2 linked regions of the Saccharomyces cerevisiae S288C genome follow. The gene in region 2 interacts genetically with the main gene of each other region. Each region holds a gene or a part of one and is shown on either strand. Other genes may lie near its edges.

What was found.
Region 1: mutations in MCT1 (region 2) and NPR3 together harm fitness more than expected from each alone (negative genetic interaction), as found in Saccharomyces cerevisiae (2 studies listed by BioGRID).

Annotation. Positions count from the first base shown.
Region 1 is NC_001140.6:58,557-64,185, reverse strand, and holds NPR3 (Npr3p), read left to right. Parts: upstream 1-1,622; coding exon 1,623-5,063; downstream 5,064-5,629. Other genes in the region: SPO11 (DNA topoisomerase (ATP-hydrolyzing)), read left to right, coding at 29-1,225; RIM4 (Rim4p), read right to left, coding at 5,396-5,629. UniProt on the Saccharomyces cerevisiae protein: Component of the SEA complex which coats the vacuolar membrane and is involved in intracellular trafficking, autophagy, response to nitrogen starvation, and amino acid biogenesis. Mediates inactivation of the TORC1 complex in response to amino acid starvation.
Region 2 is NC_001147.6:755,968-759,414, forward strand, and holds MCT1 ([acyl-carrier-protein] S-malonyltransferase), read right to left. Parts: upstream 1,592-3,447; coding exon 509-1,591; downstream 1-508. Other genes in the region: RCN2 (Rcn2p), read left to right, coding at 1-158; ODC2 (mitochondrial 2-oxodicarboxylate carrier), read left to right, coding at 2,363-3,286. UniProt on the Saccharomyces cerevisiae protein: Involved in biosynthesis of fatty acids in mitochondria.

The DNA.
Region 1 (5,629 bases), on a different chromosome or scaffold from region 2:
TTTTACGATTTACTAAGTTCACCTTCTCATGGCTTTGGAGGGATTGCGGAAAAAATATAAAACAAGGCAGGAATTGGTCAAAGCACTCACTCCTAAAAGACGGTCCATTCACTTGAACTCCAATGGTCACTCCAACGGAACTCCCTGTTCAAACGCAGATGTTTTGGCTCATATTAAGCATTTCCTGTCATTGGCGGCTAATTCATTAGAGCAACATCAACAGCCTATTTCAATCGTCTTTCAAAACAAAAAAAAAAAAGGCGATACAAGCAGTCCTGACATTCACACAACATTGGACTTCCCTTTGAATGGCCCGCATCTATGCACTCATCAGTTCAAGTTGAAAAGATGCGCAATCCTTTTAAACTTATTGAAAGTCGTTATGGAAAAATTACCGCTAGGTAAAAACACTACAGTGAGAGATATCTTCTACTCCAACGTGGAATTGTTTCAAAGACAAGCAAACGTAGTCCAGTGGCTGGACGTTATACGCTTTAATTTCAAGCTCTCTCCAAGAAAATCCTTAAACATTATACCAGCTCAAAAGGGTTTAGTTTATTCGCCTTTCCCCATTGATATTTATGACAATATTCTGACATGTGAAAATGAACCAAAGATGCAAAAGCAAACAATTTTCCCTGGTAAGCCCTGTCTAATTCCATTTTTCCAAGATGATGCGGTCATCAAGTTAGGGACAACAAGTATGTGTAATATTGTAATAGTGGAAAAAGAAGCTGTCTTCACCAAATTAGTAAATAATTATCACAAGTTGAGTACAAATACCATGCTCATTACAGGTAAGGGATTTCCAGATTTCTTGACAAGGTTATTCCTAAAAAAACTAGAACAATATTGCTCCAAATTGATATCGGACTGTTCTATATTTACCGATGCGGACCCCTATGGGATTAGCATAGCCCTAAATTATACTCACTCGAATGAACGCAACGCTTATATTTGCACGATGGCAAACTATAAAGGAATTCGTATTACGCAAGTTTTGGCACAAAATAATGAAGTGCATAACAAATCCATTCAATTATTGAGTTTGAATCAGCGCGACTACTCCTTAGCCAAGAATTTGATAGCATCTCTGACTGCCAACAGCTGGGATATTGCAACTTCACCATTAAAGAACGTCATCATAGAATGTCAGCGGGAAATTTTTTTCCAAAAGAAAGCTGAAATGAACGAGATTGATGCCAGAATTTTTGAATACAAATGAATAAGAATGGGAGCTGTTGCTTTATAAAAAATGTTTTTCAAGAATTGAAAACGGTTACATTTAAATATTATATAAATTGAAATCTTTGATAATGAATACTAGTCCAAAAAAAAATACAATTTCAAAAAAATAAATGCCATCTCCTAGAATCGAACCAGGGTTTCATCGGCCACAACGATGTGTACTAACCACTATACTAAGATGGCATATGATTTTACAATGATTCGATGGTGAATGAGTTATAAGCCATGTAAGGATCACTAGTCTTTTTTCTTAAGTAACTTTTTCGCTTGTGATATCTTGAAATACCATTAAACATAGATAAGCTATTGAAATGTGAAGAAAATTCAAAAAAAAAAGGGAACAGAGTCATCTTTTGGGTAGAAACTAAGCTTCAATGGATGAATGTTTACCCAATTCATGTCTACTAGGTGTTCACCTCGTCATTTCAACGCATTCGGGGCCACAAATAGTTTATCACTACCCACCCTCCAATACAGCATTTCTAACAAATAATCCAACGAAGCATCAGCACCTCTATGGAAACCATGCAAATCTAAATAAAAACACAAGTACAAATAAAGAAGAAAAACTCTTTAATTCTGGCTCTACGAAAACAGCTTCTCAAATTGCTCTAAACGAGTCAGCGAAAAGTTACAATACCGCTATTACGCCATCAATGACAAATACTAATACTAATAATGTGACATTACCTCCAACTAGATCGCATGCTAATACTGTAGGATCACAAAGTTCAATTCCTGCGGCTACTAATGGTGTAGGTTATAGAAAAACCGATATCGAAGATACTTCTCGGACTTTTCAATACCAAGAAACTGAATCTGAAACGTCATCATCGGGATTAAGTGACAGCGAATTGTCCACAGACTACTTAGACATTTCTAGCGATTCGTTTTCTATATCTTCTTCCTTATCGTCATCTTCTTTATCTTCTTCTCCCTCAAGTTCATCCTCATCTTCCCCTCCGCAAGATGGCTTATCAAGAACTAATTCGAGTTTCCAATCTACGGATTCAATGTCTCCAACTTCACCACAAATGATAATGGAAAACGATAGTATTTCAGTAGCGGAATCATATCTAGATTCTGGGACTAATAACAAATCAAGGGCCGCTTCCAAGAGATCCCAGAATTTCTTCCATAAATTGAGTACCAAGAAGAGTACTGATTCAAAAACACATTCTCCAGTAAGAAAGCTTAAATCTAAGCCATCACAAAGCACTAAAAAAGGCAACAAACTGTTAAAAAATACGTCCAATGAGACTGATGGAAATGCTTTTACAGGAAGTTGTTCAATTTCTTCTAAAAAATCTTTATCGAGTACAGGAGAGCATAACCAAGAACTTCGTAATAGTAGCCTGAACGACACTCCTGGCCAATCACCTCATCATTACCACCATCGTTACCACCATTATCATAAAAATGCCGCGACGAGCCAACGAAATTCCCATACCCAGTACGATGTTGAAGAAGAAGACATGGAAGTTTCGGCAATGTTGCAGGATGGTAAAATCTCTATGAATGAAATTTTTTTTGAAGAGGAAAACTTCCAGGATATAAATAAAATTCTAGAATTTGATAATGATTTTGTTGCAGAATTTTGTAGCCCTGAGAGGGAAATGTGCAATACCAGATTCGAATTCACGGTGGATAATTTCTGCTTCTTAGGCTTACCTATTCATGTAGATTCTCAAGGCAGATGGAGAAAATCCAAGCACAAAAATAAAACCCGCTCTAAAAGATCTTCGAGTACTACAACAAACATCAGTAGAAAGAAATCTATCGCTTCCAAAATTTCATCACTGAGTGAGAATACTTTGAAGAAAGTTAATAGTGGTGAAGCTGACACTGTTTATGACAGTAATATTGGTCATGAGGCTTCTACTGATACGCCGAATTTGAGGATAAATACTGATGTCAGTGGAAACGAATTTGAGAGAGAAAAGGAAGACTTGGGCAAAAATATGAACATGTTTCATGTATGCTTTGTTATGAATCCGCATTTAATCGAATATAATAAAAGGATTGATGACATGTATCAGTTTGTTGTTACAAGGTTATCATTATTGTTAAGATATGTGCAATCAAAAACCTCGTACATTTCTAGCGAATGCCATATAATTTTAAAGGAAAAAGAACGGGTACTGAAACATTCGAAAACATACCAATCTATAAGAGGCGCAGGAAACAAGGGGAAGTATCTGTACCAAAGAATTTTAGCCAAATCTTCGTTGGCTAGGGCGCTAACGGAATGTGTTGATAAAATCCAACGAAATGAAATCGCATGTCTTGAGATCAATGACGATAAAGTAATTTCCTTGCAAATCCCGATTCAAAACGAGTTTGAAAAAATGCCAAACTTCAAACTGCAACCCGTGCTAAGAGGCTCATATTTGACGTCCATTTTGAACATGAAATTTTTAGAAAAATCATCATTGAGAATTGAAAGTCAAAATCGTCAAAACGATCAGGCTCAATTCAGTGATACCAATAATAACATATACAGGTTTGGCAATAATATTAATAGTACCGGCCACTGTGGAGCAGCAAATGTGGATGACGGGGACGACAATGAAAGCAATTACTACTGCGACGACAATGATGACCTTTTAAACTATGCGCTATTATTATTGGACGAGCCAAATAATATTATTAGCTCCCTCGAAACTTTTTCATACCAGGACGATATTGGCACTATCATATTGAAACATTTAGTCAGAAATATCCAGCCAAATATCCCTCTAAGGTCGTATCGCTATCTGATAACTGATTTATTAGATAACCCTTCTTCACTGGACGACCTTACTACAGAAACAAACTCATTGGAATCAAGCATACTGCGCTCTTGCGCATTGCATTTAATGTATTGGAGACATGCAAGAATAGTGATCCCACTAAGCTCCAAATACACGTATATTGTTTCACCCTTGGCTCCTATTCAAGGTTATACAATAGATGATTATAAAAGTACTTCACAAAATGATGGGAACGTGAAAAAAATGGACGATCGCGAAAATAATAAGAGTGGAAGCGACAGAGTACCACTAATTTATCAAAATTCGATGTTGTTCAGATCCAAATTCCCATCATTGCCCAGTTTACCCATTTTTTTAAGTTTGTTGTCCACGGACAAACCTCAAGCGTACAGTAACATAATCCCATCAAGGGAACATAAGCCAGTTTACCTGAACGCGTTAGCGTGGTTAATACAGTACGGGTATGTAACCCAATTATTGACTTTCATAAATATCCGAGTGGACAAACACATAAAAATGGCAGTAGATGAGGATCTAGAAAAGGAAGGCTTCCGTAAGACTAATACTGCTAGAAGGCCCAGCATGGACTACAAAAAAACTGATAAAAAGCTGGATGATGAAGATGGGCAAAGTAGAGATGCAAACGCCAGCGAAGCGTGTTCAGGAAAGAATGAAGGCATGCAGTCCAACGACAACAACAAAGATGTGGACGAAAAAGATAACGAAAATGATAGTCGTGTTGATGATCGTGATGACAATGAAATAGCTATTGCGGATGAAGAAGAAATACTACACTTCGAATACGATGATCCAGAAATGCAACATGACTATACTATAATTTTGGAACCTGAAAGAGCCACTGCGATTGAAAAAAGATGGCTTTATAGATGTATTTATGGTCAGCCTTCAGATATCCAGATTCTTTTTAACAAGTTGCTCAAGTACTTCAATGGAAAGGTCCCCATGGAATTGGTTATCATCAAAGAGGAAATTAGCAGACATGACCTAAAGAAATTGCTCAATGCTCTAGATAAGTATTTAATCGAGATACACCATTGGTAAATCTCTCTATTGTAACAAAATGTAAGTAAAAAAAAAAAAATCTACCAAAAATTAAAATATGTGTATATAAGAATAGACAAAAGGAAGAATATATAAAAGGAAAAAAACATTTCGAGTGACTTGTAATCAAAACTCGAAAGTATGTATTGTTATATTAGGAGACAAAGAAGGTAAAAGAAGGAAAGAAGGATGAAAACAATACCAAGTGAAAAAAAAAAAAAAGATCCAGAGAAAAAAATAGGGAGACGAAAAAGAAAACGAAACTGCACTTTTAAAGTTAACATCACCGCTGAATTACATACATCTTTTGCAGCTTTTACGACCAATCATTTTTAGTAATCTAAACTATAAGCTTTGTTATCTTCATTTATGTCACCAGTATCGTTTGATATGAATTCGTTCGCATGAACATGGGTACTGCCATGATTAGCAGCATGTGATTGGCTTACATTTATTGGAGGAGGGATCATGCTTCCATCTAACCCAGAAGGCGGAGGTGGTGACATGGGATAAACCATCATATATGGATGGTGATTTCCAGCAGAACCTTGAGAAGGATGCAATGG
Region 2 (3,447 bases):
CAGGCACCAAATGCCTTTTCGCCTCTAAGCCACTAGGATTGACCATTGATACTTCTACTAGAAGTAATGCTGCATCGTGTACCGAAAATGATGTAAACGCTACTGCCTCAAATCCTCCAAAAAGTCCAAGCATAACGGTTAACGAGTTTTTCCATTAGAGCACTAGAGCATAACTAATACTATAAATTAGACAAAGCAGAAAAAGGGAAAAAGGTTCATGCTATGATAATGTAAAGAATATGCGTAGAGATATCTATATATCCATTTATACGTTTATATACTTGCGTGTTTACTTTGTATGGCATAATAACATGTATGTTTGCATTAGGGATTTGTTTTAGTGTATCCAAGAGCGATTAGTATAGAAGGAATGTATGTATGTGTATACGATATTTATATAAAGGGAAGTTGGCTAATTTTTTGCACACTTTCGTCCTCTTTCCATTTTCAATGAATGCGTAGAAGCACAGACTGGGAGTGGAGAGAGTTCGCAGTTTTGATCTCTTTCTCAATCTTTGTTCTCCTCTGCCGCCTTGTGATAAGCGTCTATAGTTGCTAAAGAGGTGTATTCTATAGTGTCCACTTGGGGACAATTTCTCCGAATAAGGTTATAAATCACATTGCCCGGGCCAAAGCAAATACTCTTATCAATTTCCACTGGGGTTCCAGAGTTTATGGTATCATAACACATGGTGAATTGCACAGTCCTGCTTGAACACTTAACGAATCTATCTAGGGCATGATGAATATAGTAAGATATATTACCATCTAAGTTAGCTATTATTGGATGGTTCAACTCCATCAACGTGTGAGTTCCGTTTTTCTTTAATATATCCCAAATGTAGTCATAGAGTGGTTCCTGAACGGGCCTCAACACAGTGCTATTATGGAAGGGGATGTTGTATGGGTTAGTTAATTCTGTAATTCTTAAACGCGGGAACCTTAAGTTCAATTCTGTTCTTAAGGACTCTAAATCATCAACCAGACCGGTGACTACACATTGCTTTACTGAATTTGCATTTGCTACAGAAATGGTATTTTGTGAAGATGATAATAAATTAGGGGAATTTAGTAGTTTTTGCACTTCTTGCGGTAAATCTGTGGCCCTCGGAGAAGAGAGTGCCCACATTTCAAATTTGTTGGATCTGTTGATATTGTGGGCTACTAAGTACTTTTCAGTAGATGTTACCATTAACTTATTTCTAAAATTAGCAATATCAAAAAGATCCTTTAACGAAAACAGTGAATTAACACTCAGACATGTTAACTCGCCTAGCGAGTGACCCAAAAGGTAACATTGTTCATTGTCTTTCTTGTCGGGGGAATCGATCTTAGTCATATTTTTTGGTGCTTGATCTTGAGGATCAGAAGGATTCGAGAGTATCTGGTACAATTGATAGAAAAGGTTGGAGCAGACTGCAATGCTTCCGGGGCTGGAAGGGTTCTGGAAGATGTACTGCAATAGATCATTTGATTCCTTGCCGTTCTGACTCAGTATTGTTTGGAATTCTCTTGATTTGTTTCTTATTATCGCTTTTAATATCGAAATGGAGATGGAGGTCCCTTGACCTGGGAAGGTTAGTAGCTTCATACAAACGCTTATATATGTGTACCACGATCAGAAAAGTGCAAAACGCTTTGTTACTACCCTCAGTGTACGTTATTGAATAGTTCTAATATGCAGCAAGTTACTGGTAAGCTTTGTTTTACCCTTGAGTTCGATACTCAGTTTACTTCCTCCATCGGAGGTTGAAATGCGCCTTGTCATACGGCCAAAAAATGCCATGTAAGAAGATGACACTTTCTGCATTTTGAGTATATTTAAGGGCCTATAATTTTCTTCCAACTTTCTCAAGACAAGCATATTGTGTACTTTCGGTTTAGCAAGCCTTTTTACTTCGTTAACACAAGGCGATGCTAACGTGTGTTTACTGTTTTAGAAGATCGGCATTTATCAAATGTAAGGACAATGAGACATGGTTGACCAATTAGTTCTTCTCAGATAGGAGTTCTAGTTCTTCTGCATACTACTTAGTCCTCTTCTGTCGTTGACATTCAATTGCTTGTGCATTTCTAACATGAAATAGTGGTACTACGAATGCTATTATTCTATGCCAGGCAAATTCCTCTGGAACTTTTTTTTTTTCAGTTTTTTCGTGGTGAGCTTTTTTTGCCTGTCTATCTCGAAAGATCTTGTTGTTGATGACTCAGTGCAGTCGCGATCACTTTCGACTCGACATGCATTTGCAAGTAATTCTGTTATAAAACGTTCTCTTCGTTTTTTCAGTCTGAAGCTCTTCTGCACTTTTTTACTGGGTTAGATTCTATATAGTCAAGTAATTCGAGGTAGCATCAAAGTAATATGTCATCAGACTCAAACGCAAAGCCATTGCCTTTTATATATCAGTTCATATCAGGTGCCGTCGCCGGTATTTCTGAGTTAACTGTTATGTATCCGCTTGATGTTGTTAAGACAAGATTTCAACTGGAGGTGACGACGCCTACTGCCGCTGCAGTAGGAAAGCAAGTAGAGAGATATAATGGTGTCATCGATTGTTTGAAAAAAATTGTAAAGAAGGAAGGGTTTAGCAGACTTTACAGAGGTATTAGTTCACCAATGTTGATGGAAGCACCAAAGAGAGCCACCAAATTTGCATGTAACGATCAATATCAAAAAATCTTCAAAAACCTATTCAACACGAATGAAACTACGCAGAAGATCTCCATTGCGGCTGGTGCATCTGCTGGTATGACAGAAGCTGCAGTTATTGTTCCATTTGAATTGATCAAAATCAGGATGCAAGACGTCAAGTCCAGCTATCTTGGACCAATGGACTGTTTGAAAAAAACAATCAAAAACGAAGGTATTATGGGGCTATACAAGGGTATCGAATCTACCATGTGGAGAAACGCTCTTTGGAATGGTGGCTACTTCGGTGTTATCTACCAAGTGAGAAATTCCATGCCCGTAGCAAAGACAAAGGGACAAAAGACCAGAAATGACCTTATTGCAGGTGCGATCGGTGGTACGGTCGGGACCATGCTTAACACTCCCTTTGACGTGGTGAAATCCAGAATCCAAAGTGTGGACGCGGTCAGCAGTGCTGTTAAAAAATACAACTGGTGCCTACCTTCGCTATTGGTCATATACCGTGAAGAAGGCTTCAGAGCATTGTACAAAGGTTTCGTCCCCAAAGTATGTAGACTAGCACCCGGTGGTTCATTAATGTTGGTGGTTTTTACCGGTATGATGAACTTTTTCAGGGATCTGAAGTACGGACACTGATATTTATTGTATATAGAATACCTCTTTCCTCTTCAATCTTAACTACGTTATTTCTACGTCAAAATAAGAATAGCATGTCTGTCCTACCAGCCCTTGCATAGGCGTCTTAAAATGTTGAGAAGCCTAAACTTCCCTCAATTTCCTACACAAAAGGGCATTAA